Coturnix japonica: one gene and its partners. The protein of the gene in region 7 purifies or fractionates together with the protein of the main gene of each other region. This does not show direct contact. Links are inferred from orthologs where the notes say so. Each region holds a gene or a part of one and is shown on either strand. Other genes may lie near its edges.

Region 1 (4,628 bases), on a different chromosome or scaffold from region 7:
GAGTAACAGTGAACTTTACACTAAACAGTAATGAAATTAAATACCTGTCTATAATAAGAATTACTTTAAAAATTAGAATTTGAATAGAGGAAAATACAGCCAAGTTAATCATTTTGCTCTGGATCCAGAACATCAGTTTAGCTAGAAATAAGTAACACCCAGCCTTTCATCTTATCTTTTCGACAGATGTTTCCCCTGTATAAAGGGTGGCACAATTGTTTTTGTCAGTGTTATAATTAAAATTGCTATTCAGCCGACACAGAGTTTTTAATGGTTTCCCTTGAGATTACAGCAGATGTTGCCTTATTAGATAAGAACTCTCCCAAAGTGAGAAATGTTACTGATATAATCAAGACTTTTATTTCAATCTCAGTGTGTGCTGTCACTATTTACTTGGTGACATTTGTCCATAAGGAACGAATACCAGCCGCTGTCCTAAAGGGAGAGGGAAAGGCATGTTGAAGGGTTTGGAAGAAGTATTAGAAATCCGAGTGTTGTGGTCTGACCTTTGCTGAGCTTAGATGGAGAGCAGAGGAGGTGGACCTGTCAGCTGCACCTCCACCAGCCAAAGATACTACAGGTTCTTACTGGTATAAATAACCATCATTTAGTCATCCCACAGAGGGTCTATGGAAATCTGGTGAGTAGCAGTTATCCAGCTCCTGTTACAAGAAAAGATACAACGGCAAGATAATTTGAAATGGTAGCTAGTTTAAATAAAGCTATGTGTAACAGTGAGCTCCAAGAAGCTTTGCAAAGGCAGCTTAGGTTCCTGATGCTCACTGAAAAGCTGGAGAAGTGGAAGGTGGAAGTGAGGAGGTGCTATGGCACCCACACTGCGTATTGGTCACTCAGGGATCCATGGGACCCTTCCAGGGCTACCAAGCTTATGTGAGGCCTGAGGAGCTGCTTGGCTGACTGTGGTGTTTGGGTGTTACCTGTCATCGAAAAGTCCCCAAGACATCTACAGAACATGCGACACAACTGCTGAGTAATAGGTGTCCCAGTGTATTACGAAATATACTAGTCATACAGATACTTGGGATTTCAAGGGTTGATTCTCCTAAACTTAGCCCTCCTGAGGACAGGTATTAATTAAGAATACAAAACACTTGCCAAGCACCAGCACCGCTTCCCATAGCAGCTGTGGTGCCCCATCCCTGGAGGCACTCAAGGCCAGGTTGGATGGGGCCCTGGGCAGCCTGAGCTGGTGGGGGGCAGCCATCAGCTGGGTGGGCTTTGAGGTCCCCTCCAACTCAAACCATTCTGTGATGCTGTGATCTCGTGTATAGCGAGGGGAAGAAAACTGCTTTTCTGAACGACCCCAAAGATCCTCTCCCATCCCCATGCTCCCCAGCGAATCCCGCAGGCCCCACTCTGCGCACAGCATTAAATCAAACCCTCCTCCCTTTGCCCGGAGGGAACTTCACTCTTGTGCTGACGGTCTGACAGGCAGACACACACACACAACCAAGGTTCACAATCCCAAACGAAGCCTCGCCAGGCCCAGCGAGGCACCCGCAGGGCCGACTCCAGTCCCGCCCAGCCTCACACCGCCCTATGCCGGCGCCGAGGCAGGCCGCGCTCAGGGGCCGGCCTCCGGGGGGCGGTCCCGCAGCTTCCCCCGCCCCTGCCCCCTGAAAGCGGCCGGCAGGCCGGGTAGCGCGGCACAGCACGGCGCTGTACGGCGGAGCGAGGCACGGCCTTACGGAGCGGCCAGCGGCACGGCCGGCAGCGCCCACGCAGGCGCCCGCCTCCCGCCCGCCCCTTTCTTCCTCCTCCTCCGGGACTCTCCGCTGGGATCAAGCCGGCTCTGCCTCTCTTGTTGTCGGTCGGTTGTGCCACATCGAGGATATTTTGGCTCCCGGAGAGGCAGCGGCGTTTTCTTTTATCCGTTTTTTGGGGGAATTGTGCTTGCGCGGTGCCGCTGCGAAGTGGAAGAGCAGGTGAGCCGGGGTGGCTCACCCCGTGCCGTCCCATCCCACCCTCGGGATGCGGCGGGGACCTGGCGGTATGATGGGGGGAAGGGGCGGCTGCGGAGGGACCCCGAGGGCTGGGCTGTGCCATCGCCGTGCCCAACTACTTTTAGATGGGAGAGAGAGTGTGTGTGTGAGGAGGCGGAGCGGCTCTCTGTCGCCGGGCCCCCAGGAGCGAAATCAGTCTGTCCAGGATTCACGACTTGCCTTGGGATCATCGTGGCGTGCCGGCTGTGGGCGCGCACCTGGTCCTCGCTGAAAAGGAGTCGATCAGAATTCAGGAGTATTAGTTAATAAGTGCCTGATCCTGTTGACCCTGTTCTGGTTCACCCACTCAGCTATGCGGGGGAGGCGAGGAAGGTGTCCTGCCGGCTAAACCAATTACAGCTGGCAGGGAGCAGTCATCGGCGTTGCTGAGGAGCTGGGAGCCAGGCCCAGGCGCACTGTGCCCGTGTGTCTTCTATGAACTCAACTCCAAACCAGCGGGAGCTGCTCAGCCCACTCGGTGTTGCGGTGTCTTCTCAGGTGTTTGGGGCTGGTGGTGCTGAGGGAGGTAGAAAACCGGAGTGAAACAGATGTGCCTTGTGTTGTTGGTAGAGTAGAGCGCTGTGTGCCTCGTGAGAAAGCCGATGGGGAGGCCATAGGATGAACGAGCAGTCTGACATAGGAATACAAGGAGCCGGGTTAATGAGCAACGCTGGGTAATGAGGGCTTCTTGGAGATCTTTTGTCTCAGCACCCAAAGAGCTTCTGAGGAGACAGACAGAAAAATCAGGAAGGGTAGAATCCTTGCCCACTTAATCACAGAGTTGTAGGGCTTGGAAGGGACCTCTGGAATTCCCTACAGCAGGTCACACAGGAGAGTGTGATGGGTCTTGAATATCTCCTGAGGGGGGAGATATAATCAATGGGAAAGTCCCAAAGAGGAGTCTTGTTAAGGCCTGGGTAGCACCTAAAATTGTCAAAAATCCTATCCATCACTGTGAAGATGGGATGTAGGATTGTTGATAGCGTGTGTAGTGCCCTCACGAATGCCTTCTCGTTGTTGAGGCTCGCAGCTTGTTTTCCTATGTACCTGACCAGGTTTCAAAGGCAAGACAAAAGCCATTAAAAATTCCATAGTGCCGTAGTTGTTTGGTTTTTGTTTGCTTAGAGGAATAAAGAAAGCCCAGTTGAATGTAAGGATGAGCAGTTGTTTAAACTAGTGAATTTAATGGGGGAAAAAAAAAAATAAATAATAAAAAAATGAGGATGCTTGCTGAGTGAGACTCGCGCTGTGTGAAATTCTTTGGTGCTCAATGAGATGTGTAATTTAGATCAAATATTTGCACATGCTATTTGAGGTAAAACCCATCATTCCATAGATTGCACTTTTGGGTAACATTAACGAAGGATAAGTGGACTGTTCCTTTTATATTGGGCTGATTTATGTCGTTTCAGTGATAAGAGCCATACATGTAAGAGCTGTGAAGTTGAAACAGGCCTCTCAGGTTGAGGACTCTTGACTTTTAACTGATTGCAAACACAGGAGGATGAAAGGGATCTGTGGCTGTTTGGTATTTTTCTTCTGCTAGATGGACAGATGTTGAATGTGTTGTCATCTTAGCAGCTCCACTTGTTTTGTGGTTTTGGTTTGTTTGTTGTGTTTTTGGTGTTTGTTTTTAAGCTCTAATTTGCCGTCTTTTTCCACGTTTAAGATTGTATGTTGACCATGTTTAAGTTTGTATGTTGATTTTTTTTGTGTGTATTGAAATGGCTTAAGAGAAATTGCTTGTATTTAGTAATCACAGTTTTGTGGGAATAATAATGCCCTCGGTTACTTTGTTTAAATAAGAGTGAGTGTTTTCAGACAGTTTCTGTGGAACAAAACAACGCAGCACAATGCAGTGACAAAGTAGAAGAAAAACTGTTGAGACAACTTGCCACAGTCTAGCCTGATAAGGTATCATTTACCGACACCCGAATTACAGCATCGTGATAAACTTGAACAGTGGCAGTAAAATCTGCTTTATTCATTGAGTGTGATCTCTCATAGGATAAGGATCTTATCGCTGTATTCCTTGAATCATATATAAGAGAACATGTTATACAGCCCTCACACAACCCTGCTTCTGGTGGCATTGGGAACTTGATAGCCTTGATTCGAGCAGCATGAATGTGCTGTTGGTGGTCCCAGCTCTGAGAAGGGTGTTTTATTGCATGAACCCTTTTTGGCTTGTATGCATTTAGTAGGCTCAAGTTTAAGTGTATTAACCCAGTGCTCATAAAATAGGTGAAATAATGCGTGTCAGAGATGCTGTATCTAGTGAAGGAAGCAGGTTGTTTGTATTTGGAGCTGGTTTTCAGGGGTAATTCGTGTGAGGAGTGAGCAAGGCAAATGCCAGTCTGAAGGTGCCACAGTAAGCAATGCTGCTTCTCTTCATTACTTTAAAGGCAAAGTCCAAAGTGAATTGTGCAGTGTAAGCATAAATATAGTAAGTGAAGGTAGACAACACTTCATGTTTAAAATGATGGGTGAAAGGTACAAAATAACTGCAAGCAATCGGTACTTGATGGGCAAAGCACTTCTGAAGGCTTTCGTGACCACATAATGGGATGAGGTACTGAAAGCACTGGCTTAGGGGACCAGAAGTTAATCATCCTCTTATGCACT
Region 2 (4,408 bases), on a different chromosome or scaffold from region 7:
TATATACATGCCTTAGCAAACCTCATATATTTAGTTCTGCTCTTCCCAAAAAGCCAAAATAAACCAACCTGCAAATCACTGTGAGATTTTTTTCTTTGGATTCTAATCAATTTGTCCATCTCTGTGACACCAGAATATCACATTGATACTTTCCATCTTCTATCAGAGAGAGTCCACTATTTTGATGCCACATTTCACACAGTTCAAAGCACACCAGTCACCTTGCAGTACTACATTCCACTTAGAGGACAACCCACTATATGATCATGGTGTTTCTCAACATTCCCCAAACTTGCCCCATTGCAACCATTGCAGCAGGGAATAAACCTTGAAAGAAATCAAGGATGTTGCACAAAGAAAATCTAAATACATTCTGGGCCCTTTCAGAAATGAACAAAAACCACTGAAAATCTACTCATCCCTTCTATGTGCCGAACATGAGCCATAGTGAGGGCCAGGGGAATCCTTTGTCCTTAGTATTAGCAGCCAAGTCGTAATGTATGTGCATTAGCAAGACTGCACGAAACCTTAACATTGTTATATCCTAACTTTTGGATGCTCGACTTCATAATGTTAACAATCTTCCATTAGCGTGGCTGGTGTTACTTATCACCATTGTAATGTTTTCCCTTTTAAGGTTTCTCCTCATCAGTGGGAGAGGGAGACATTCCTGCCCTGCACTTTATCAAACTGAATCTTGTGTTGTTCTTCCCTGCACAATCTAGTAATTTTTTCTCTATTTCCCATCACTTCACATCTTCGGTTTGAAAATCTAATTAAGATGTTGCTTAACATCATTAATGATCGTTAACAAGGAAGTAAGTAAATCCAGAGCCAAGGCTGAACTCAGAACACCAATTTAGATACCGCTTCTACTCTGTATACTGTCAATTTTGGTCCATCATTTGCAGTTTGGGCTTTTGATAGCATTGATTATGCCCTAACTAATAAGGTGTTATGCTTGAGCAACTCAAAAAGCAAAACAAAACAAAAACTAAGTTACCTGTGCTCTCTTCCTTTGAAGTTCTTCCTAACACGTCTATATTCTTTCAATTCCACCCAACCTCAATTCTTAACTGTAAAGCACTATGTCAGAGGTCCTCAGCACATGTCACAACCACTCCTCTCACCTGCTTGCCTTTAGTGCTACCATTCCTCTTCTAATGATCAAGAATAAAGTGAGCGATGGACAGGCAGCAGCTGGCTCAAAATAGAACACATCTGACTCAAAGCAAAGAAGTCAGCTTGCTTAATCCCCTTTCAGCCCTGCATGGTACACTGCACAGCCTCTTTTTCTTTTCCCCTGCTCTTTTATATTATCACATTGGCTCACTAACAGTAAGTTACCATCAGCTGTACTTGCAAGGGCTACTAAGAAGAAAGTGAAACAAAGCGACCACAAAGAAATCATGACTAGCCCTTGTCAGGTACTGAAGGTCTTGCTTTTTGAGGTACCACAATCCTCCCATTTTAGTAGTACAGGTGACTTCCTATCTGGGGGATGTTAAAAGGTGTTCTGTATCTTATCATTGAAAGAACATGGACAGTTACGGTGCCAACCATATATTGCCAAAGATTTGAGGGGAAAAAAAAATGGCTCTGTTCTTATTGCCAATCCTCAATTAGACCAAAGCCGGTGACTTTATATATGGATACCTATTTCACAGTAGAATTTTTTATACTTACTCCTACTACCACTTTGTTTTCCTAAATAGTAAGTGTATTTGTTAACAGGACTGTTGGGACCATACAGGGGGGAAAAAAAAGGTGAATTAGTACTAGCAATGCTTGGTGTTGGTTTAGGCATTAGATTATTCTCTTCATAGATAACAAACGGATTCTCTAGCTGGCCACAGAATTCCCCACACTATAACCCTAATTTAGGCAAAGTAGCTTTGGCAGAATGAGGAGTCAAAAATTCAGTGGCCTGAATCTTTTCTGGTCAGTCAGACACAGAAAGCAGAACTTGAGCACTACATAGAACAGAGTTTATAGTGTTACCGAAAGACTTCATTCTGAACTGAAAACCAGATTTGCTGAAATGCACCCTGAGCAGTGGAAATTTCAACTGTGAATCTTGTACATGTCAAAACTGTAAGCACGCTTCCCCATCATTTACTTACATAGATCCATAATATGGTTTCTGCAGATGGCACAGTTATCAACCACAATGTCCCACGCCCACAGAGCTACTGCATTCCACTAGAGTGAGGGGGGAAAAAAGAGAAACATAAATTTTATTCAACATATAACACATGGAAATCCTCATTATTCCTCAAGATCCTCTTTCTTTCTGAAATGATAAGGTTAGGATATTAAAAGACACACACCTTACAGCACCAGAGTAATTCTTTCTCAGATACCTCTCACACTCAGTGCCTCCTTCCAGTCTCAGAAACAATTGATACTAGTCCCACTCTCTTTTTTTTGCCATACAAATGCAAACATCTGCATTTCAATTCATAATCTGGAGGCAAGAATGCATCTCACGCCACATCCTCAGTTTGGAACTTCTCTTGTTTGTAGCTGTTTTCCCAGTAATCATCCCTCAGAGCAGCTGGGGCCAACAACCAGAATCACCTCTAACTTTGCCCCTCAGCGACTCCTGAATCATTTTCATTGCAAAAAATATACAATATCAAAAGTGCTCCCACAAAGTGCTCCTAACCACCTCCGGGCCTCGTTGAAGTGAACTTGGGATCTTTCACCACCATTCAGCTCGCAGCCACACTGGAGAGGGTAGGTCAAAGAGGGATATTATGGTTGTTAGGCCAAAGAGGGATATTATGGTTGTTTGGGGGAAGCAAAGCAAACCGGGATGACAAGACAGCATTTGTTGGTCACCTACGAGTTGATTTGTGAAGAATACAAAAAGAAGCAGCCACACAAATGCGTGCAAAGCTCCCTTCACATCACGTAGGGCCACTAAGACAACTGAGCCAAAGCAGCCGGGACTGAGGAGGCAACAGCAGCGCACCGACTCGCCCCTAAGCCCGGCATTACCCTCGGCTCTGGGCGGCGGGGCCCAGCCAGAACTAGCCCCGCCTCGCCTCTCTCCCTCCTCCTCCCCGCGTGGTCGCGCCCTCTGATTGGCCAACCTCCGTTCCACGCGCGGAGACCCGTCTCACCCATTGGCCCCGACACACGCCAATAGACTCCGCAAGCACCGCCCCCCCCTCCCCTCATACGGCGGTGCCGGTGCGGAAGCAACGCCCGGCTCCGTGAGGGGGCGCGGAAAGCGGCTCAGCGCCCCGACCCGCTCGCGGCCACCTGGCCGCTCCCGACCTCCCTCCTCCCGCTGGGACCGGCCGGGTAGAGCGCGCCACGCCAGCAGGTCTCACTTTCTTCACTTCGAAGCGCTTCTTGCCGGCGCCGCTGTTGGTGCCGCTGGGGGTGTCCACATCCATCGCAGCCGCCATTTTGGATGCGTGAATAGGCCGTTCCGCTCTGTGCGCATGCGCGGCGGAAGGGGCCGCAGGGAGGTGTGAGCGGAAGGTGTAGGCGGGGCTTCCGCCAGGGCCTGCCCTTACCCCCCCCCCCCCCCCCCCACACACACCCCTCCGTCCCCGGCAGAGCCTTTTTAAGGGAGGAGGTTGCCTTGCTCTTCAGCCCTTGCTCCCTTCCCAGCCCCTCAGGTGGGCTGAGCTGAGCTGCATATCCTTTGTACCATATCAGCCTCAGTGCTACCCCAGTGGTGTGGGATGTCTCTGGGGCGCTCAGGATGCACTCAGGAATGAAAATGTTCTGAAAGAAAGCAGGAATTCATGTGCTCCGAAACACTTTTTAGAGCAATACTTTATTGTACAGAGGTTATAAAAATGAAGTGCATTTTATAACTCCTTAAAGAACTGTAGGGCTGGCTGGCTGCCCTCCATTGCTGATGCCACTAAAAGTAATTGATTTGGCTAAGTTTGCCTTTGCTGTTGTGAGTGTCCAGACAGACAGCATCACAAATGGTACCTCATTTACCGTCTTTCCACATTGCCACAAAACTTCTCAGAGTTCATGAATATCATGGAACTTCAATACTCTGTAGCATCCCCAGCTGATCTGGAGTGCTCAGAGAAAATTTGAATTCTAAGAACAGAGCCAGAGGGGTAGATTAAGCAATATATCCCATAGTTTTTTGGCCCAGATCATGGTTGGTTTCTGCATGAACCCAATCCCTCTGCCTCTGTGTGTTTTCTAGATGATGGTCACATTATATTCCCATGTAGTGCCATTGTTTTTTCAATCTGTTACTAAAACCTCAGGTGAGAAATGAAGCCTCCCGCTCCCCATAATCTGACTAAGATGAACAGATGAGATTCAGAGAGAGGAACGAGTTGCAGCATTTCATGGGATGGTGACTAATTGCTGCTCTTTCTTTCTCATGGTATTGCACCTCAAGCTGCTTGATAACTTGAAG
Region 3 (3,961 bases), on a different chromosome or scaffold from region 7:
CAGGGTGCTGGGTTCCCCAGGCCAAGGGATGGAGATGCACCTTGCATAAGCATCCCATAGGGTTCTTGCCTTGGATAAGTGTGGGACTGGGGGGGGGGGGAGGAAAGCAACGATGCTGTAAGATAAAAACAGCCAGCTCAAAGCAGGTGAGGCAATGTTGCTTGGGGCCCAGGGCCACTGCAACAGGGCAGGTGCTGACGCAAAGCCAAATCCCCTCTGCTGCGCCACAGAGCCAGTTGGCCACTAATCTGCCTGGGATTAAACCTTGAACCGGGTACGGACAGTACTATTTTGGGAGCGAGGGGCCGGTGCCCTCCCATGAGGCTCAGTGCTGTGCAGGGTACACAGGAGTGGGCCGAGGGATGCTGCCGACCCCTGCACGGTGCAGCACCGTGAAAGGCGATCTCCGGGCGCCCGCTCCTTTCGGGGCCGCTGAGCACCGCTCAGCTTTGTAACCAGATCCCTCCCAGCTGACGGACTGGGATTACTCCATTTCCGACCCGCGTCCCCCTGCCCTTCCTGAGTGAAACCCAAACCCCGTGCTGGTATGGCACTTCCAGATGGGTCGCAGCCAGTCCCCCGCATAGCTCCAAGGTCGCCCAGAACCGAGCTCTGTACTGGAGCTGGCTGCTGTGCCAGGAAGGGATGCAGCCTGACCTTCCCTGCGCGCTGCATCCAGCCCCAGGTCCTGCTCCCATATGGAGCACCATTCCCACAGCACTGCTGTCTACGAACGCAGAACAGTTGCTCCTCCACCTCCAGAGGCCACTGAGCCTTACCTGTGCTCTGTGGGGTATTGGTTTTCAGACATCATCTTTGGCATGTGCATGGGCGGGTGGGGCGGCCGCGGCACGGCAAAGGTTTGCTGCCTCTGCTCCTGCAGCAGGTGTGGTGCCGGCGCGGTGCTGCGCAGTGGAGCCGCTGGGCCGCCATGGGCAGCTGCCTGCACTCCTGGGGCCGGCGGCGGTGGCAGGGATGAGCCCGGCTGCACGGGGGACACCGGCGTGGCGGGTGGTGTTAATGGCTTGAACCCAGTGGGGGGCTTCCTGTCGTAGGCACTGCAATGGGGAGAGGGGATGGGGGTTGAGAGCAAGGCAACGCTAACACAGTCAGACAGCTATGGGCCCCTGGGGAGAGCATGGTGCAGAGGAGACTGACACATGAGACAAGCGCCTGTGACATGGCCACTGCTACCCGCTGGCAGCGGGAAACAGCCCTCGTGGTGTGACCACCTGCAAGGGGCTCAGACTGGCCAGGCAGGGGACCCCAAACTCCTTCTGGCACCAGTGCTTTGCCTGCTGACATGGAATGCTCCCCATCACCCAGCTTCCAGTGAGGGGATGGCAGAAAGGGACGCGCAGAGACGTACCAGCAGTTGTAGAGGCACTTGTCTCCGTAGCTGGCACAGAGAGCCTGCTCATGGCTGCAGGCCGACAGCTCTGAGGAAGGGCTGTGGAGCTCCCGCTTGATCTTGGCTGGAGGTGGAGCATGCAGGACCACTGCAACAAGAAGGAGGAGGAAGACATGGGCACCACTGACTCTGAGCTGCATGGGAATAGGCCATAGGCATAGGAGCAGCTGTGTGGGTGCTCCCTTCAGGAAGCCAGAAGCTGACCCCCTCCACAGGAGCACAAGAGAATCACAACAGCACAAAAAACCCACAGCAAGGACTACAGGGACAGCTGGGCATCACCCACAGAGGGGAGCTGCTCCCCTCTCATGAGGTGTGGGGGCAGAGCATGGCATGGGACAAGGACGTGGGTGATCACCAATGAGTGGTGTGCCTGGACCATCCCCTACAAAGCAGCTATGAGCCCAGCAGTGCCACCCTTTGCCACACATGGACCTTTCCTTGAGTGTACCCAGACTCAGACCTGTGGAAGCCACTACATGTTTGCCTGCACCCAGCCCCAGACAAGCCAGCCAGAAGCAGTGAGCAGCAGCCAGCACCACGTGTGCTGTGCTCAGTGCTGGGACCACTGCGAGATGGAAGCCATGACTGTACAAGTTCAAGGGGCAAACAGCCCATTAAACCCAAAGCCCTCCCAGCTCCAAGCCCGTTCACTATATATACACATTTTAAACCGAGTAATATATGCTTAACTTCTTTAATTTCTAAAAGCGGGTGCTCTAGGAAAGGGAAAGCACGTCAGAGATCTTTACCTAAATCACGCCTGAGCGGGAGAGCCAACACTAATCGGAAGTGGAGTATTAGCTACATGCAAAGTCTAAACACAGCCCAGCTACACCAGAGGGGAGCAAATAGCTCCAGGACAACTGTTCACTGCTTGCCAGGTAATTAGCTGCTCCCCTCATTTGTCAAACCCTTTAAAGAGCTGCTGACTTCCCCCCTCTTCCCCCCCCCACTGCAGCCCAGCACAGCTGGTACCAAGGGCAAGAAAAACCCAAAGGAGCATCTGAAACATGAAGCCCGGGCTGAGCAAGCACAGCCCCTGTGCTGCTTGGAGCCCCCCCAGCCACCCTGGGGCCAGATTTGCTCCCCTGCGTGCATTTTGGGCCGGTGTGGAGGCTGCGACACCGCAGGAAAGCGAAGGGGAACGCACATTGGAAGGGCTCCAGCTGCCGATCACGGGCATGTTTCTCCCTAACAGTCTCTGTGTTGTTCGAGCGGGTTGTTTTTCCGCCAGCCGCACAATGGGGTCTGGTTATTCATTGAAAAAAGTCTCGGAGCGGGGCACCACCCTCCATTCACAAACAATTTGGAGCGCTCCATTCATGCGGTTGGAAGGGGGAAAAAAAAAGAAGAAAAAAAACCAGAAAAGAAAAGAAAAATTTCCCCAGAGCTTAGTGCTGCCATTCAAGAAAAGGGAAACGATACTTAAGATCATAACAGAGACCAGCTGTCCTCGCAAAGAAGCCCGGACTTTGTGCAACGTTTGAATTCCTTACACAAACAGCATAGGGCCGGGCGCGCTGCGCTCCCAGCTCGGCCTTTCCGCCAAATTCATTCAAAGCAAAGCGATTGTGCAAGGTGGTGAGGCCGGAAAACCCTTTGGGAAGAGCCAGGAGAAAGAAAAATAACATCCAGCGGCTGCTGGGGGAAGCACCGAACCAAGCTGCCTCTGGGGGGTGGGCAACCTGAGCACCGGCCACGTGGAGTGGGGGGTGGGTGTGGGGGGAGCACCCCTGATGGCCCTACTGTGGGCTGTGTTGGTTCCATAGGATGGACAGAGCCCAGGGGGGTCAGCATCGCATCTCCAGCCAGGCCTGCCCCATGATGCCACCAAAGAGCTGACACCTTCAGCAAGGAAGGGGACACCCCGAAGCTGCTTGGGGCTTTGAGTCCGGTCTGGATGGCACATTACAAGCCTGCAGGATGGAGCATTGTGGTGGCTCTACCCCAAGCACCGCTCCAACACACGCACCAGCTGGGGACCTTGGCACCACCGCAGCCGTCACCTGGGCACCAGCTCCCTGCCAGCCCCTCTGTCCCCCTGGCACAGGACGCACCCAAGGTCACGCCAGGAGAGGAGCCAAAAATAGAAGCCGTGCTCTTGCTTTCCTTTGTTTAAGCTCTCCTTCCTCAGAAACAAACCTCCTGCTTTCATTTGGGTGTCTTAAAAGAAAAAAAGGCAAGAAAAAGCCTGCTCATGGCTTTCACTGTGAGCCATCCACGTGGGGGGACACAATTCCACAGGGAACAACACTCCTCCCTACCAAAAAAAGGGACCCTGCACCTTCCCACCCCCAGCACTCGCTGTCCCAGCACAGTCCTATCACCCTGTGCCTATGTAAACAACTGCCCCAGATAAGGCTCTGGGCACATGCCCTCCTCCCCAGGGCCAGGTGGGAGGACAGGAGACACGTGCCACGTGTTGGCCAACACCTGTCTGCGTGCTGCCAAACCCAACTCCTGCCATGACATTGTGACCCACAGGAGTTTGATCAGCCGCTCTGCAGGCAGCCTGAGCTCCACCAGGGCTTTCAGCAAGGTGGGAAC
Region 4 (4,401 bases), on a different chromosome or scaffold from region 7:
AAGTAACCTTCAGGTGAAGCAAATCAAGAACAGGTTGGAGCAAAGCAGGCACAAAACCGCAGCAGGGAGCAGAGCTGACACTCCCACTAACATTCACACTGGGGTGGCCTGAGGCTTGGGTCAGGAACACCACTCTAAATACAAGCAACACACTGCAAAGCTTTCACGCTCCTGAGACAGCCACTCCCATTTTACACCAGTGGGTAAAAACAGTTTTAGCCTCATTTATTCCCTCCTAAAATAGTTACCCCAAAACAAACATAAAAGGGAAATCATGGTCACCAAGAATTACTGCCCATTTATTTTAGGGTCTAAGTAGTGGAACCAGTAAGATGGGAAGGATGGGATGGGAAGGATAAACAAGCACCTAGGGAAGAACCTGACAAACTTCAGAGGTAGAGATTTATTAATTGTTTTTGCCAAATACTTCCATAACAAACAACCAAACGGCACAGAGCAAAGGACTAAAGTAGGTTAATGTGAAAAATACCTTGCTCAGCTTCACACAGCTCAAAGACTGAGTAACAGTAACAGTGGTGAAAAGAGATGATCAACACGTGGGATGGTGAAAAGCCTGGAGGGACCCAGCACCATCTGAGCTACATTTACTCTAATTTGACTTCTTTAGTACTAAACAGAAAGGAAAAGCAATTGGCACATTAGCTGGATTTAAGAGCTGCTACTTCAATTTGGAGAGATCATAAATACTAGCTCTGACAGAAGCCTGAAAGAGTAAGTACGTAGGCAGCATAGAAAAGGTAATTCTACTGGTGAAAAATGGAGATATTATATTTGAAAAACATGCTCGAAGATGCAGAAGAAAAGGGAGAGACTACCTCTACAATGCGAGTGTATTACATGAAATAGCAGCTAAAAAAATCAGCTGGGGATTTAGGAGGGAAAGGGCACTGTGAAGCACTTCTGAGCACAGGGAACAATCCCTGGAGAAAGGGGACTCGATAACACCTAAGATCTTTTCTGCCTCATTTTCAGTTGCAAAGAATGTGGTGAAATCGTGAGAGCAAAAGATACTGAAGTTATTCAATACCAAGGGTGTCAAATGTTCACGCAAGAATGAAGTAATGGGATCCTAAACAGCACATCTAGTGAACATTCACAGGCTCAGCTACAAAATGCCGCTCACAGCACTGAACCTGCTTGAGAGCATTTGCCCCCAAGCAACAGGGAGCCCCAGGTGGCAGGCAATACCTGGGAAGGATCTGTTACCCGCAGCGTCACTACATCTTCACTAGTGTATTTGATAAACAGGTGGTTCTCATCCAAAAGCTGCATCTTCCACATGCGGAGCTGCCTCAGTTGATCAAAGTATTGGAAGAACCTCCTCTTTGCTATTGCGCTGCCGTCCTGCTCTGCCCTTCTCCACAGGTACACCAGCAGCCTGTGCTTCAAAGAGTTTATGAAGGGCTCTTTGTAGGGGTTTGCCATCCCCGTCTGAGTGTCCCTCTGCACCTCGGGATACACTGCAGACAGTGTCAGGAGATCATCCTCATAGCAGAAGCGGCCGATTGTCCGCACATCGATGAAAGTCCCCTCGGGCGTCACCTGAAAGACGTGAATAGTCTGCTGCTGCACAGAGAGAATGGCCAAGATGTTCTTATACAGGTACAGCCCCTGGTTATGAGAGAGGATGACTTTGTCGCACTTGAAAGTCCTCGTGTCACAGAGTCTGCCCGTGTGGAGGTCAATGATATGCAAGGAATAATCTTCCAGAGGGGAGCGAGGGTTGGGGGTCACCGACTCACTGTTGCGATAGACCTCAAAGAAGGGAGGGTGAGGCTCCTCAGGCAGGTAAGCAGCAGAGCCAACGATGACGTACCGACAGTCGTCAGTGAACAAGCTGCACTCGCGGTTCAGGTGCTCCCCATTAGAGGCCACATTGGTGATATGGAGCAGGACGAAGAAGCGCTCAAAGAGCCGCCCTCGGATGTTGACAGATCTTTGGTCATTGCCATTAGCCAGGATCTCCCCCTCGTAGCCTTGCAGGAGGTCCTCAGCCGCCTGGCAGCCCTGATACTCATAGATCTCCAGGGAGGTCTGGTCGGAGGAGAAGGCGATGAAGTAGCGCCCATCAGGGGAGAACTTGCGCAAGAAGCAGGGAGGCTTCTCCACATTGACCACGGTGAAGTTGGGGAAGACGTTCTGGTGGAAGACACGGACCTGGTGCCAGTGGGTGCCAGCCTTGCCAGAGCTGATCCGACGGCGCTCCAGGCGGTGGATGACGTTCTGGTTCTGAATGCGGCGAGGCTTGATTGTGGGGGCATCATGGTCCATGGTCAGAGCATTACTTCATCTTCACCCTGCTGCAGATGGTGCACACACTCACCGTGGGACCTCACCAAGGCTGATAACAAGAGATGGAGCTGCGAGCAAACTCACAATCCCATAAAGGTGGGGGCAGCTGAAAAAGCCTTTGGGAGACGGACTGGGAGAGGGGGTTCAGTGGGACATAACGGGGACAGCAGGAGGTACCCAGAGAGAACCCAGCAGGGAGATGGGACCTGCAGAACAGCCTGCAGGGCACAGGGAAGGATGGAGCCGAGGAAGGCAGCACACATACGTGGGTACCACCGGAATGAAGGGACACGGCAGCACCGGGATGGGGGTGAGAGCAGCCGGGACAGCGGGGACAGAGGGAGCCCGGGGGGAAACGGGGCGGCCTGTGGGTCACCGGGAACAGGAGGATCAACGAGCGGCCTGACTGGAGCCTGCGGACCGGGGGCCGCTCTGCCTCTGCCCCGCAGGGAACTGGGGCTCAGGTCCGGGCCCTCGGGGCACAGAGGAGCTCGGAGCCCCCCGGGCCTGGAAGCCACGGTGTGGCGGAGCCCACGAAGGGTGCAGGCCGCGCTCACCAACGGAGCCCGGCGCTGGACCCGCCGCCGCCGCCGCCTCTTACTGTATGGCCGCCGCCATCTTGCCGCCACCACACAACGACGCACCGCGACGGCGGCGAGAAGGCGTCACCCTCAACGCCCGCTTCCGCTTCCGGTCGGTGGAGCAGCGAGGAGGTGCGTACCAGAGTGTCCGCAGAGAGAGCGAGAGAGAGAGAGAGAGAGCGCCCCCTGGCGGAGGGAGGAGCGCTGCGGGGCGTCCGCGTACAGCGGGAACGGACTGAAACGTGCCCTGCAACGCTATAGCCCTGCACCCCTATAGCCTACAACCCTATAGCCCTGCACCCCTATAGACCTGCAACCCTACAGCCCTGCAACCCTATAGCCTACAACCCTATAGCCCTACAGCCCTACAGCCCTACAGCCCTACAGCCCTACAGCCCTACAGCCCTGCAGCCCTATAGCCTACAACCCTATAGCCCTGCACCCCTATAGCCCTGCACCCCTATAGCCCTGCACCCCTATAGCCCTGCAACCCTATAGCCTGCAACCCTACAGCCCTGCAACCCTACAGCCCTGCAACCCTACAGACCTGCAACCCTACAGACCTGCAACCCTATAGCCCTGCACCCCTATAGCCCTGAACCTATATAAATCCACACCCCTATAGCCCTTCACACATATAAATCCACACCCCTATAGCCCTTCACCCATCCTAAACCCCTATAATCTTGCAGCTTGCAAGCAATAAACCCTCACCCCCATAAATGTGCATCCATCCTGCACCCCTATAACCCTGCACTGCTTTAGCCCTGTAGCCCCTCACCCTTAAAAACCTGCACAAATGCTGCATCCCTATAGCATGCATCTCTATAGCCCTGCACACCCATAAACAGGCATCACTACAGCCCTACACCTATCCTGAAACCCATAATCACACACCCCCATAAACCTGCACCCATCCTCCACCCCTTCAGAACTACATCCCTGTGGCCCTATCAGCCTACATCCCTCCTGCGCTCCTATAAGTCTACACACCCATAAACCTGCATAACTGAGCCCATAAACCTGCTGGGGACGTGCTCACCCACACTGGTCACTGTGCTGCAGCCAGCCCTGGGTGAAGGGCCTCAGTCCCATAAAGCACTGAGTGACATTGCTATCCCCACAAAGCTCTTGGGACATCACCCCAATGGGGGGTGGCAGTTAGGTGCCAGGTCAGTGGGGACCTTTATAACCCCTATACAACCCCACCACTCACCTTGTGCCCCCATATATGTGTGTGGAAAGGAGGCACCTTGCATCCCCTATGGGATCATGAGGAAAGGACCCACTCTATGGGCCTGGGGGTCCGTGCCCATTTCCCTGTGGTTTTCCACAACAGGAGACACGATGACAAGCTGAAAATGAATGGCTTCAGCGCTTCTCTTTGTTTCCCTCCCCCCCCCCCTGTGTAATTAATTGGGATCCACCTTAATAGGATAAAACTAAATACCAAAGAGCATCCAACCACATGGCAGCTGGCAGGAAAATAACCGCCCAGCACACACAC
Region 5 (3,961 bases), on a different chromosome or scaffold from region 7:
TGACTTTGGCTCATGCCAGCAAAAGCAGGCATTCTCATGGACAAAATGGAGTAAATGAAGAAGAAAGCAGGGTTTTGACTGCATAAATAACACAGTCCTTGTAAATCATCTTATATGTAGTACATGTTTCTGAAATAATTGAAACCCTAACATCTCAAAATACTCCAGTGAACTTAGTCTGAGAAATATTTACCATCATAGCTTAATTACAAATACTGTGGGAGCTACAGGGATAGAAACTATTGCAATGTAATACTAGAGGTATTTTTTATTTTTTATTTTTTATTTTTTTAATGCTGCTGTAAATATTCTATTCTGCAGTACAAAGAATATTACACTGCAACATTGGTTTTTGCAATTCCACCTACACCTGCAGAAAATAAACTTAGAAACTCAAATCTATTATGAAACAGTTAGGCTGACTGGCACTGCATTCATTTCCCTCTTTTCCTTTTTTCATTAGCCAAAAAAAGAAGCAGAAATTATCATTAAGAACTGTCAAGGAGTGAATCAGAAAATTGCAACTTGAAGTTAAAATAAGAAACAGACTCACTCACAAAGCCTCAAAGGAAGTTAATAATACTTGTTGTACTGGAAGCTTTGTATGGAATCAAGTCATTTGTTTACACAAGTGGATTTGATTCCTGTTGGTACTTGTTAGGACCACTTATCCCTCATATATTCATGCCCAGTATGAAGATGTATGGGCTGTATCTTCTAGATACTGATTCCATCTTATACCACCAATGCATATTCCAAAGAAATATGCTTGGAGTTAAAGATTTATATACAAACTTACATAGGTAGACCATTTGTTTAAATGACATTTTCTGAATGCACTCATCACAGCTACCATCTTGTACATCAGGAAGATTTGAATTGGACAAAAATATGAAGTGTACAGTTGTTACAAACAACAGCAAATGAAAAGATTCAATGTAAAGAAGGAAAAAATATCTTTCACTACAATTGCACTTTTCTTTGTAAAGGTTGAAAAAAAGGAGATTTTTACTCCAGCTTATTTGACATTCACTAAAATGTGATATTTTATCACAGAAGGGAAAAACAAGTGCAAAATTTCCCAAAGAAAATGAACTTCAAAGACACAGGAAAAAGAAAAAAACTGTGTGAAGAACCCATAAAGCTTGTATAGAACAATTATTACAGCTACAGAAAGATAAACTAAGGGCTATGCAAACCTCTATAAACATTCAAATTCAGACTGACAGAGTTTCAGCATTCTCTTCACAAGTTGCTCTAAAGTAATACTTAAATAAAATAATGATTTTTTAAAACCTATAGAATACTCTCTTACACAGAATCCACTTATCTTTGGTGGATTTCAGTCTCCTGACAATACACAAAGACTTGGGTGTATATAGAGAAATACATTTCATCACACTCCTCCGATCAGAACTGCAGCCTGGCTTCACCAGGGGTCAACTTGGTTAAACTACAGTGCAAGGAGGGGAAAACTATACAATGAAGTTGAAGGGGCCAATTCAGTGCTCCTTCAGTGCTAGACATGCTCATAGGAACCCTGGGTGATATTTAATACTATCCCAGTAGAGCACAAAATAGCAATATAAACCATAGCAACCTCCTTCAGAAGTGATCTGCGCAAATCCCTGGAGATAACAGCCCTTATTAGAGCAGAAGCATGCATGTCAAACTCCCCAAATCTGTGATTTTCTTTTCAGGTACAGTTTAACAATTTGTTAACAATTGGCTAAACTGTAAGCACTAAGACAAGTCCCTGAACTTACATATCTATATATAGCTGAAAATCAAAATGCTCTGAGAAACTGCACAATTCAGCAAACACAAACAGGTTCATGTAACAATGGTTAGAATGAACAGAATTCCACAAACAAGTGTCTGGTCTCAAAAAAAAAGGGAAATGCACTGAGCATATTTGTTGCAAAACAGAGCTAAGAAAGACAGTCAGTTGTCTAGGGATTTCTAACATCAAAACAAAACAGGGTGACTTAAGGACAGTTTAAGCTTTAATTCTAGTCTCCAGCTCTTGTGGCTTTTACTCAGACTAATGTTATTTAAGCGCAGTTTATGTTGGCATCTTAGTTTGTTTGAAATGTTATATTTCAAAAGCAGTTGGAAAAACGATCCACCCTTCCAAAGAATATTCTCAAGCAGTAACATCGTAATACAGCCACTTATCTGTTTGTAGGTACATTTCTTAGGAAGATGCAAGACACTTATAGCAAGGATCTTGTTCGCCAGTGACTTCATCACCTCATGGGGCTTACTAGCGTCAAGTGAGCTGCCCTCACAAGGCAGTAGAACCAGCTCATTAAAACTGTGTCAGTGTCAAGACCAACTTCTACTGAAATCCATCAAGCAGAGTGCCACTCTTTTACACAGCACATGTATTTCTGACATTCTGAACTTTGCTGGCTTAAAGCCAGAGCTGTCCTATATGAGAGATATGCAGCCACCACTGAAATGCCTTCTGGACCGGTCCTGTATGTGTTCTGTGTTTTACCTGTGATCCATAGGGAAGCTGTTGTCTTGAATGGATTGGGATGGAGGGAGATGGGCAGGGAAAACCCGGTCAGGTTTAGGAGTCTGAGCTGAGTTTGGGGAGGCATGGTGCAGTGGTGACACAGGAGTGCTGGATGGCGTTGGTGGGTTGGAGGGCCTCATTCCCACTTGTGGCTTCTGATCATAGGCACTATAAGTAAAGCAAGAGGAAGGATAGTCAAGTTATTTTCTCAGCAAACACATGAAGCACATTAAGAGAATAAAAAAAAGCAGAAAAAAAAAAAGCGTCACATACAGGTTTTCTATTACAGATATTTTATTAAGCAGTTTAAGGAGGGGAAACTCTCTACACTGAGAAGAGCACAGAAAAAAAATCACTTTGGAAGTAAGTGGCTCAACATAGCATTTTCTTCTCTGGAGCCTAGAAATGTATTTTTAAAGGATTCAGTCCTACAGTGACATTCTAACAAGGGATACACAAAACACGCAATTGTAAAAGCACCTGGACTAGAGCACGAAGAGCCGGCAGTGCCTGTCAAGACGCTTTTTAGAATGTGTACAAACCACAAAGTGAGACAGTAAAACAATGAATGCAGCTAGAGGGAAGGGATCTGACCCAGAAAAACAATGCTATGCTGGCTTTGCTACCCACATAGGATGTCAGCAGCCTCCCTTGACTTTTTTTTTTCCCCCTCTCAAAAATAACATTCAAGTCCTGCAAATACAAAGGTGTCCCAAGCAAGAAAAGGACACGAATAAACTTTGATCATTCCTATTTCCAAGCAATAAAAACATAGATGCGAAGCAGACAGTAAGCAAGAACTTGCATACTTTCCTATGTCAGGTACTCTAGCGTCCACCAGATCCATTAATACACACATTTGATTTTTGTAACCAAAACCATTCTAGTATGACTGATGAAGGTATCAGTCTGGGTTTTTTTTTTTTTTGTTTTTTGTTTTTTTTTTTAAATTTTCCTCCACACATAAAAAAGTTACCGCAAAGTATTTAAGCGCTTTCAGTTTTGGTAATACATAAATGTGAGTCTAAAGATTCGAAAATAGACTCAATTGTCAATTAGAAACCCTTCACTGTTGACACTGAAGGTAGGAGTGACATGTAAGTGCAAGCCAAAAGAAAATCAATAAAGAATGCAGTCATATCAAGCCCCTCAAAAAAATTAAAGCTTTTACTGTTTACTCATATAAAAGATGACAATTTCTTTTGAAAAGATAGCGAAGATGCATATCCTAATGAAATACTATTTCAAATAGTATACATCCTTGAATGTTGGCATATGTCATTTCAAAACATGTCAAATATCTAAGGTGCTGCTCAGACCTCCCAGTCTGTTACACAGAGCTTACTCTCTTCCCTAATGTATGTCATGCATCTTGAAAGTATTTTCCAGCACAACTCACAGAAAACCAGACACTCCTTCCATTTCATGCTTGCACTA
Region 6 (4,592 bases), on a different chromosome or scaffold from region 7:
TTGCTGCCTCTGAAAGAAACCCTGATTTGATCTTTATTTATCTTGCACACAATGAGACTGGGGAAAAAGCTGTAATAATAATTATCTCTTCTATTATGACATGAGAAAGACAGCACTGTAGGCTCTTCACCTACACAAGCCATGTATAAGTTTCAAATAACCACTTTAATGGCTTGTTTTGAGCCGAGTCCTCTGTTTAGTAAGCTAGTTATTGCTGCTTGTACTGTTTCCTCTATCAGTTCTAATATCCTGAAGAGCTTATCTTCCAAAACACACAAGATGGAAACAAGCAGGCATTACATGATTACTTTGTTGTTTATGCTGGTTTTTAACTTCAGTCTTAGAACAGGTTACGTGAGGTGACCTCTGAAACAAACAGTGATCACACAACTGTTGGTCAGATATTTGGTTATGCTTTCTAAGACACAGCCTTTCCTACCCACCCACACAAAAGTCTGGTCCAGATTCAAAGCATTTACTTTCTTCCCCCTTTACTGCAACAATGTTCTATTCCGTGCCCTCAAGAAGGGCAGCTGCTGCCCTATTTCAAGCTATTTAGGATCTTGTTGCAAAGGGAATTCTCTTTTCCCATTATTTTTATCACTCGCTCCTCACTCGGCAGTTCTTTGCACTGCCCCACTTTCTGTAGCCCATCAAATATCAGCCACTTCCACCCAGATCCAGGCAATCTACCACCAATCCCAGACATCACTTCTATTTTAGTAGCAAAAATTGGCTGCCACCCTCCTATTGCTCACTGCCTCTGCCAAGCACCTTTGTGCTTTAACCCATGCGGCCACTGCCGCTTGGGAAAGACTATGCTTTGGGCTTCCCACCAGGCCTTGTTTTTAACTCTGCCACCGTGCCAAATTAAATACATCAATCAAGAAGTTCCAAGGCAGGCTGGGGTACCACTGCCTGCTGCACTGAGCCCCAGCAGCCTCTCTTCTCCTGTCATGGTGCCAGATAGAGATGCACATAAAGGAGCACTGCCATAGAGAAGCAGTACACACACTGATATTTTCCCCATGGATGGCTCTGTGCTCACCAACCGAGAGTTACAGCGACCTGTACATACAGGTCAGCTTTCCAAAAGATGCTGAACTTCCTCTTATTCCTTTGGCAGAAGGAATATGTATGTATGTATGTATGGGCATGTTCACAGCCACCACCCACCGTACAGGAATCTTGCTGATTTGCACCAATGACTTCCTGACTGCTGGGCTGTCCTTACAACACGCACATTTTTACAAACAGAATAAGCAAAAAGCACAGTTCTCTCTTTACAGCTTATCTGAGATCTCCCTCCTCCTCTACTGCCAAAGCTCAAGTCCGTGCCCCGGCAATTTCATACCCATATTACTATAATCTCTTTTCTGAGCCTCTGAAAACAAGTTAGGTAACATTCAAAGCATCTGTGTTTTTCTAGCTGGGCATGAAAATGCAGGATTTCTCAAACGCTCTATTTAAAACCATCAAATGTATTATGTAAATCAGATTCTGCAAACCTATAAGTATTACCAGACACATATATATCAGTCCAGCTTGAAGGCAGTATGTTATATTAGGTCAATATGCCTTCACACAACGAGCCGTTCTGATGCCACACATTACACTCCATCTAATGACACAGAGAAGTCACTTCAGCTCTGAGACTCACCCTGCTTGTTAACTTCAGCCGCGTGGCACAACTTACAGCATCAGTGATGTTTTATAACAACACGAGCAGTGCGATTCTTGCCTTCATTCTCCAAAGAGCACTGACACTGAAGTCTCAGCATCGTAACAAATACTTTTAACGCTGGCTACTCTCAAACACCAAAGCATGAACCAAAAAAGCCATTGTAAAACACAGACACTGCAAAGCCCAGACAGAGCAAGACCCTAATTTCAGGATCTGGAGCAGGCAGAGTGTTGGGGTGGCTGGATGCCCAAGTGCAGCTCTCAATACCTTCCAACACAAATTGCTTCTTCATGGGCCCAGACCTTGAGAACTCTCCTAGGAGCAGCGAGAAGCTGAGGCACAACACTGTGAACTGTCTGGAAACACAGAGCGTTCTGGAGATAATAACTGGCCTTTAACGAGTCAAAAATACATCTCTGCTTGATCTGAAGCCCTGCGAGTCTCCATTTTCCACATTACACCGAAAGAAAACATCACCGTACGGGTCTTACCTGGTAGAGCTCCTCGAGGTTGTACTTAATAGAAGTGCTGCTCTGAATGGCTGCCACCGCCTCGTGAAGTTTGTGCCAGGTGTCCTGCGTGTAGTTATCGGGCAGCTTGGGCCTTTCTGCGGGGGAACACGGAGGCGGCTGAAGGCGGCCCGAGGCTCGGGCTCCCCGCAGCCATCTTCCTCCGCTCAGCCCAGGGGCGCTCACGGGGCACGGCCACGGGGCAGGTCGCGACCCCACGCGAGACGGCAGCGCCCGAGCGCGTCCAGGCCCGTGGCCTCCTCCTCCTCCATCCTAATGCGGGGCCACCCCAACCCCGCGGCCCCACGCGAGACCCCGGGATGCGGTTAGGGAGCGGCGGCAGGTTCTCCGCGTCCCTGTAAGGCGGAGCGGCCCCCGCGGTAAACAAAGGTGCGGAGAGGCCGGGCCCGGCACCTGCCGCCGCTCGGCCCCGCACCCACCTCTGAAGTTCTTGATGACGAGTTTCTTGGAGGAGGCGGCGGCAGCACCGGCCGAACCGCCCCCGCCGCCTCCCCCACGCGTGGCGGCTGCGGCCAGCGAGGCGGGCTTGGTGAGCCCGTTGGTGTGCCCCACCAGGGCCGACAAGTGCGGCTTCTTCTGGGCTTCGTCCGCCATCTCCGCCCCGGGCGCCGTGTCCGGCCGGGGCAAGGCGCTGCGCTGGGCTGGACCGCCCGGTCCCCGCCTCCGCTCTCCTCCTCCTCCTCCTCCTCCTCCTCCTCCTCCGCCCGCCCTTCTTCCCTCCCTCCCTTCCTCCCCCACCTCGGGGCGGCAGCCCAGCCCTTCCCGCCAGCTTCACACCGAGCGTCCCCGCTCGCAAGATGGCTCCCGGGACGGACGGCTACGGCGGACTCTCGGTGCGAGCCTCTTACAGACAACCCGTGGGGAACTTTATTCAGCTTTTTGGAACAGATTGCCAAGGAGCTGCCGTCCCTTCTTCACAAGGCAGGCACTGCGGCCCCCGGAGCACAACGGTCCGCTCCCATAAGGTCTTGCTCGGCAGAGAAAGACCTGGGGGTCCTGATGGATGAAAAACTCAACATGAGCCAGCAGTGCGCTCTGGCAGCCCGGAAAGCAAATGGGATCCTGGGCTCCATCAAGAGAGGGGTGGTCAGCAGGGATAGGGAGGTGATCGTCCCTCTCTACTCGGCTCTTGTGAGGCCCCATCTGGAGTACTGTGTCCAGGTGTGGAGCCCTCAGTACAAAAAAGACATGGAGATTTTGGAAAGGGTCCAGAGGAGGGCCACAAAAATGATCAGGGGCTGGAGCACCTCCCCTATGAGGACAGGCTGAGGGAGTTGGGTTTGTTCAGCCTGGAGAAGAGAAGGTTGCGGGGTGACCTCATTACAGCCTTTCAATACCTGAAGGGAACTTACTCCCAGGAGGGGAGTAAACTCTTCGAAAGGGCTGACAATAGCGGGACACGGGGAAATGGTTTTAAGTTGAAAGAGGGAAGATTTAGGTTGGATGTTAGGGGGAAGTTCTTCACTAGGAGAGTGGTTAGGCCCTGGAACAGGCTGCCCAGGGAGGTTGTGGATGCCCCGTCCTTGGAGGTGTTCAAGACCAGGTTGGACGGGGCCCTGGGCAACCTGATCTAGTAAATGTGTATGTTTGGTGGCCCTGCCAGGCAGGGGGGTTGGAACTACATGATCCTTGAGGTCCCTTCCAACCCGGGTCATTCTGTGGTAAGCACAAGCTGACACCGGACCCCGGTACGACCAGCACGCTAGTCCCTCTGCTCCCTCCTCCCGCCGCTCCGCCCACTGACGTACCACACACACCGATGCACGTGCTTTTATACCTAACGCGCGCTCTGGCCCCGCCCACCGCTCTTTTCCATTGGCTGCCTCGAAATAGACCACGCCCCCAAACGGCTCCGGTGACTACGGGAAGTACACGGCGAGTGCCGGAAGTGCCGCTGTGCGCCGCGCCATGGCGGGGAGGTTAGTCAGTGTTTGGGTTGGGGGCGGTGGGGGAGGTGCGAGCAGGAGCACGGAGACAACGGGGGCAGCCCCGGCCCGGCCTTCCTCACAGCGAGGAGGACGAGGTGCCTCTGGGCTACCACCCTTCTCTAAGACTCCGGTTCTTTTGCAGAACGTGATTTATTTCGGCCTCCTGCCCCTTGTGTTCCAATGGCCCACATCACCATAAACCAGTACCTGCAACAGGTAAGAGTTTCTTTATGTGTCTATTTTCCTCTGGTGAGGCCGCATCTCGAGTGCTGTGTTCAGTTTTGGGCTCCTCACTATGAGAAATACTTGTATCCTACATACAAGGATAAAGCACAACAGCGTTCTTCTCATCCCCTCCATTTTTGAGAAAATACAATGCTGATTTATTTGGTTTTAAACCCTTCCACTGGTAAAAGACACTGGCATAGATGAACACTATGCGTTGTATGA
Region 7 (3,961 bases):
GCCAGCGTGAATAATAATGATGAATATTCTGTGGAAAATGGAACAGTTCGCTACAAACGTTAAAAGTAAATTACAGTACAGAGGGCTAAAAATGATTCCCCGAAACCTCACGAGTCTTAACTTTCTTCGGTACTAAAGGAATTTTATTTCAACCATTTCAAAATTTAGAGTTTCCTATATAAGGAAGAATTCCTAACTTACAGCCATGTCTCATGGACGAGCCAGCTTTCCTAATGTGATCAAGCAACGGCAGTCAAACATCAGGCAGAGCCCTCAGGCTTTGTAGCAACCCCCAGAATCTGCAGCAATTCCCCCTTGCCTTCCTTGCAGCTCTGACATGCAGCACCCTGGATTGCAGGTAGTCCAGTATGCAAGTCACATTACTGAATACTTTGCCTTTTATTAAACCACAGCACCCACTGCAGCAGCAGAAAGGTACACATCATTTGCCTGTGCAGCCGAGGTCGCTAATTTACACCACAGTTAAGCTTCCCTTATCAATAGCGTAAGAAAGTGATATAACTCAACTTACTGGAAGTCTTTGGAAACACTGGGGTGAAAAAAGGAGAAAAATTGCAATAGTTATTTCTAACATTTCTGCACCATGGTAATTCCTTGTCATCAGAAATTATCTTGCTTTGTAACCATAGGGCATTTTGAAGTGTCCCCTGCAAGCTGTTTCATGTTTGATTGCATAAAGAAACAGCAAAGTTCAGTAATAAGCGTGTTTTAGGGTACAGCCATGGGTACATTACTCATGTCAGATAGATCAGAATGAACAAAGCACTGCTTTAAATTAAACCCTCAGCACCTGACCACTAAAGAAAACAACTCGAGAGGCAGCACATAAACATCAGTAAGTATTTTTCAAAGACCGATTCCTCCTTTGACACTTTAATAGGAGCAAATAGCTGCTGCTCTTCCATTTCCCTCATTTAGAGATCAAGCACACAGTCCTCCTGTAATTTATTCTGCATCTATGTCTGCAAAACGGGATGTTATTTCTCAAGACATTTTCCTCGTCAAAGCACGAGGCCATTTCATAATTCCAGCTGTATTACTGCTCTGCTCCTTACTAGAAGATTTTCAGGCATCTCTTGCAAATAAACCCCTTATATCCATATTAAATCCTATTTAAAATGTGTCAAAAAGCAGGAATGACTTTGAAGAGAAGAAAATCTAATTAAGCATTACAGGTTATCCCTTATTTAGGGCAAAAACAGCCGTAGCAAATCCTCTACTTTTGGTGCAGCTGACATACACATAAACAAAATGCACAATTGCACCGCATTCATATTTATAGTTCCAATTATGAAGAAAAATGTCTTCAACAAGGGAATGCTGGGAAAAGTCCAATTTGTTATCCTTAGCTAATAAACGTATTATTTTAACAAAAACACAGCTCCGTATCACCAAGATAGCACACATGGAAATATCTGTGCTAATCTGTGAAGTACTGCAGCCTGCAGAACATTACAAGCACCTCACAGGAGTTTGGCTGGTCACACACAACTACCTTCTCCCATCATCTTGCAGCCCATCATGCCACAAATTGTTAGAACTGTGTTGCTGGGCATGACAGGACCCAAGTCAGCCACTGCTCCCAAACAGACATGCCCGCATCTTCCATCCAAGAGTGAGCTCTCCTACAACACTTGGCAGTCTTTGAACATAAAAAGGCCACATTTTTTTTTGTTTATTAGTAATAGTTTTCAAAAGCTGGAAAATGTTTAGGCAGCCAAACCTCAAATTAACAGAGGAGCAGGGATTTGTGACCCAGCTTGCTTGCTGATCTGTATCCTGGCATGCTAGTCCTTGCCTTCCAAGGTTATAAGCAAAGATGCTCTGCTGCAGCAGCCCCTGCCTGCATTATTTTTGTGCTTCTGAGGCTCCCCTCAACCTGCTCTTTGCTGCATTCTCTCCCTCTTTGTATAAGCTGCTGCTCACAGCTTGGTGCTGCACATCTCTTGCCTGCCACAGCCCATTGCACTAAACTTCTTTTCCCCAAAGCTTGCTTGTTCCCCATGAGAGCCAGAGAGCGACCTTCCTCTCCCTTAAGAGGCATCCGTTTGACCTGTTCGCTTCCAAAGAGAATATCGTTATATAATTAAGAACCATCCATCCACCATGTAACAATTACTCTAGCTGCTGCCACACTGTTACTCAATTATGAATGAGGCAATCCAGGCAATTGTGAAAACAGCTTCTAATTCTACAAAACAAGTCTTAAATCTAAGGTGTGCCCCATGGGATAATGATGCTGCTGCACACTCAGCTTCTGTACTTGAAGCCATTTGTTAACCAAGACTCACAATCTGGACAACAAAGGATAACCTCCAAGTGTTGTACCGCACATTAAATATAGTAACATTTATCAACGTGTTTTCACCTCTTTAGTATTTTGATAAGTGTTTTAATGACTGTGCTTTTTCCACATCTAGAAGAAAAACTACCCAGCCACCGCAGCTTCAGAACAAAGATTAGAGAAAAACTATTTAGTGGTTACGACCTTCATAGTACAGCATTACAGAGCAACATATGTGGTGCTCTGAAACAATAGTATTATACTTTATAAGCTTAAAAACCTCAAAGACTGGTCATGAAAAATCTCCACAAGGTGACTTGAAGAAATATATGCATATGTATAGCAGTGTTTCTCAAGGCAGGGAAAAACAAAGGCTTGTCTCTTAAAAGTGAAGCTTTCCTGAGAAGCGGGACTGTGAGAAGTAAATGATGTCAAAAGCTGAACACCAAGCAGGAGGAACTCACCTGAGACACGTGTCATCCTTGTGGAAAAATAGCACTGCTCCAGGTCCTCAAAGTGAGCTGTGAGCCGCTTCCGTCGTGAGGCGAGCGTGCTGTTATACCACGGCTGCTTTTTGGCCTGAATGGAGAAAATGCTTCTTGAGAGAGGAAAAGACAAGTCTGGGCTTTATTTCAATAGATTCTAAGAAACTGAAATACAATTTATTCACTGTATCATCTGGTGAGTCAGAATTTCACAGTGACAATGAAGAATATCTATCCACTCATGACTAGGGCCTTGCATTGCACCTTCTAACCTGAGAAGCAAAAAAGCTGCTTTTAGATGGCAGTCTTCTCAATCTCTGCAAGCTCAGCTTTACACACAGGACAGATGGCAGCAACCCATGGGGAGCCATGCATCGCATTTGTGCAGATAGACAGCAGAGGCCCAACATACAGCCTTTCAACTTCCCAAATCAAATGGACTGTACAAGAATCACTTCCTAGATCTCTAGCAAACCACTCATAAAGAGTAGGGGCTGTTTAAGGAGTCAGTGAATTATTCCTTCTGAAGTAACTCAGTACCTATAAAAGTAAACAAGTGAGGAAAGAAGCAGGAATACACTAAGAGACTAAGTTCAAAGGTTAATTGAAAATAAGTCCATGAAACACAAAAAACCACCACTTCCCAACCCACACAGGCATCAATGCTGAGGGAGAAGGACTGAAACTACATAAGCAAGCTCTCCCTTAGAAAACAAATGGAAAACAAAGTACTTCTTGTTTCAATCACTAGTGAAAGGAACAAATTATTGCACAAGGAGCATGAAGAGCATCTCGCTTCTGTTTGTGTTTCAAAAGTCTCACACATCACTCAGAGATAATGGGGGAATTTTAAAAGAACCAACAGGCTCCGCAATGAGCATTTCTTAGGGCACAATACTCCTGAACACACACAAGGTGTACAACGCCTCTCAAGCACTAACAAAACCCACATGCCACGAAGAACACAGGTTCAACTCCCCCTCAAATCATGAGGCAGAATGGGGCTGCTCTCATTGCAAATGTCAAGAAGCCAACAAGAATAAACAAAGTTTAGAGCCTACTTTGAGATTCTGCTTGTAACTGTACAAACAGTAACTTAACGCTCAAGGGAAGAAACATACCCCGAGCAATGAAACTTCCAGATGCCACTTCCTGTGCGAGGCCCCTGGCT

Evidence for each region.
Region 1: the proteins of COP1 (region 7) and ETS2 purify together in Homo sapiens (affinity purification with western blotting; 3 studies listed by BioGRID and IntAct, with this or other methods). This does not show direct contact. The link is inferred for Coturnix japonica from reciprocal best matches to the Homo sapiens genes COP1 and ETS2.
Region 2: the proteins of COP1 (region 7) and RBX1 purify together in Homo sapiens (affinity purification with western blotting; 3 studies listed by BioGRID, with this or other methods). This does not show direct contact. The link is inferred for Coturnix japonica from reciprocal best matches to the Homo sapiens genes COP1 and RBX1.
Region 3: the proteins of COP1 (region 7) and ETV5 purify together in Homo sapiens (affinity purification with mass spectrometry; 6 studies listed by BioGRID and IntAct, counting the BioPlex papers as one, with this or other methods). This does not show direct contact. The link is inferred for Coturnix japonica from reciprocal best matches to the Homo sapiens genes COP1 and ETV5.
Region 4: the proteins of COP1 (region 7) and DET1 purify together in Homo sapiens (affinity purification with western blotting; 11 studies listed by BioGRID and IntAct, counting the BioPlex papers as one, with this or other methods). This does not show direct contact. The link is inferred for Coturnix japonica from reciprocal best matches to the Homo sapiens genes COP1 and DET1.
Region 5: the proteins of COP1 (region 7) and ETV1 purify together in Homo sapiens (affinity purification with mass spectrometry; 4 studies listed by BioGRID and IntAct, counting the BioPlex papers as one, with this or other methods). This does not show direct contact. The link is inferred for Coturnix japonica from reciprocal best matches to the Homo sapiens genes COP1 and ETV1.
Region 6: the proteins of COP1 (region 7) and CUL4A purify together in Homo sapiens (affinity purification with western blotting; 9 studies listed by BioGRID and IntAct, with this or other methods). This does not show direct contact. The link is inferred for Coturnix japonica from reciprocal best matches to the Homo sapiens genes COP1 and CUL4A.

Annotation. Positions count from the first base shown.
Region 1 is NC_029516.1:97,056,020-97,060,647, forward strand, and holds the start of ETS2 (protein C-ets-2), read left to right. Parts: upstream 1-1,657; 5' UTR 1,658-1,946; intron 1,947-4,628. UniProt on the Homo sapiens protein: Transcription factor activating transcription. Binds specifically the DNA GGAA/T core motif (Ets-binding site or EBS) in gene promoters and stimulates transcription.
Region 2 is NC_029516.1:45,482,251-45,486,658, forward strand, and holds the start of RBX1 (E3 ubiquitin-protein ligase RBX1), read right to left. Parts: upstream 3,148-4,408; 5' UTR 3,133-3,147; coding exon 3,004-3,132; intron 2,203-3,003; coding exon 2,124-2,202; intron 1-2,123. UniProt on the Homo sapiens protein: E3 ubiquitin ligase component of multiple cullin-RING-based E3 ubiquitin-protein ligase (CRLs) complexes which mediate the ubiquitination and subsequent proteasomal degradation of target proteins, including proteins involved in cell cycle progression, signal transduction, transcription and transcription-coupled nucleotide excision repair.
Region 3 is NC_029524.1:3,945,248-3,949,208, forward strand, and holds part of ETV5 (ETS translocation variant 5), read right to left. Parts: intron 1,500-3,961; coding exon 1,370-1,499; intron 1,059-1,369; coding exon 780-1,058; intron 1-779. UniProt on the Homo sapiens protein: Binds to DNA sequences containing the consensus nucleotide core sequence 5'-GGAA.-3'.
Region 4 is NC_029525.1:11,805,464-11,809,864, reverse strand, and holds the start of DET1 (DET1 homolog), read right to left. Parts: upstream 3,022-4,401; 5' UTR 2,915-3,021; exon of another isoform or gene 2,322-2,914; 5' UTR 2,293-2,321; coding exon 1,210-2,292; intron 1-1,209. UniProt on the Homo sapiens protein: Component of the E3 ubiquitin ligase DCX DET1-COP1 complex, which is required for ubiquitination and subsequent degradation of target proteins. The complex is involved in JUN ubiquitination and degradation.
Region 5 is NC_029517.1:24,985,570-24,989,530, forward strand, and holds part of ETV1 (ETS translocation variant 1), read right to left. Parts: intron 2,693-3,961; coding exon 2,504-2,692; intron 1-2,503. UniProt on the Homo sapiens protein: Transcriptional activator that binds to DNA sequences containing the consensus pentanucleotide 5'-CGGA[AT]-3'. Required for olfactory dopaminergic neuron differentiation; may directly activate expression of tyrosine hydroxylase (TH).
Region 6 is NC_029516.1:123,900,046-123,904,637, forward strand, and holds the start of CUL4A (cullin-4A), read right to left. Parts: upstream 2,864-4,592; 5' UTR 2,809-2,863; coding exon 2,634-2,808; intron 2,292-2,633; coding exon 2,176-2,291; intron 1-2,175. Other genes in the region: PCID2 (PCI domain-containing protein 2), read left to right, coding at 4,323-4,358. UniProt on the Homo sapiens protein: Core component of multiple cullin-RING-based E3 ubiquitin-protein ligase complexes which mediate the ubiquitination of target proteins. As a scaffold protein may contribute to catalysis through positioning of the substrate and the ubiquitin-conjugating enzyme.
Region 7 is NC_029523.1:4,928,680-4,932,640, forward strand, and holds part of COP1 (E3 ubiquitin-protein ligase COP1), read right to left. Parts: intron 2,885-3,961; coding exon 2,770-2,884; intron 1-2,769. UniProt on the Homo sapiens protein: E3 ubiquitin-protein ligase that mediates ubiquitination and subsequent proteasomal degradation of target proteins.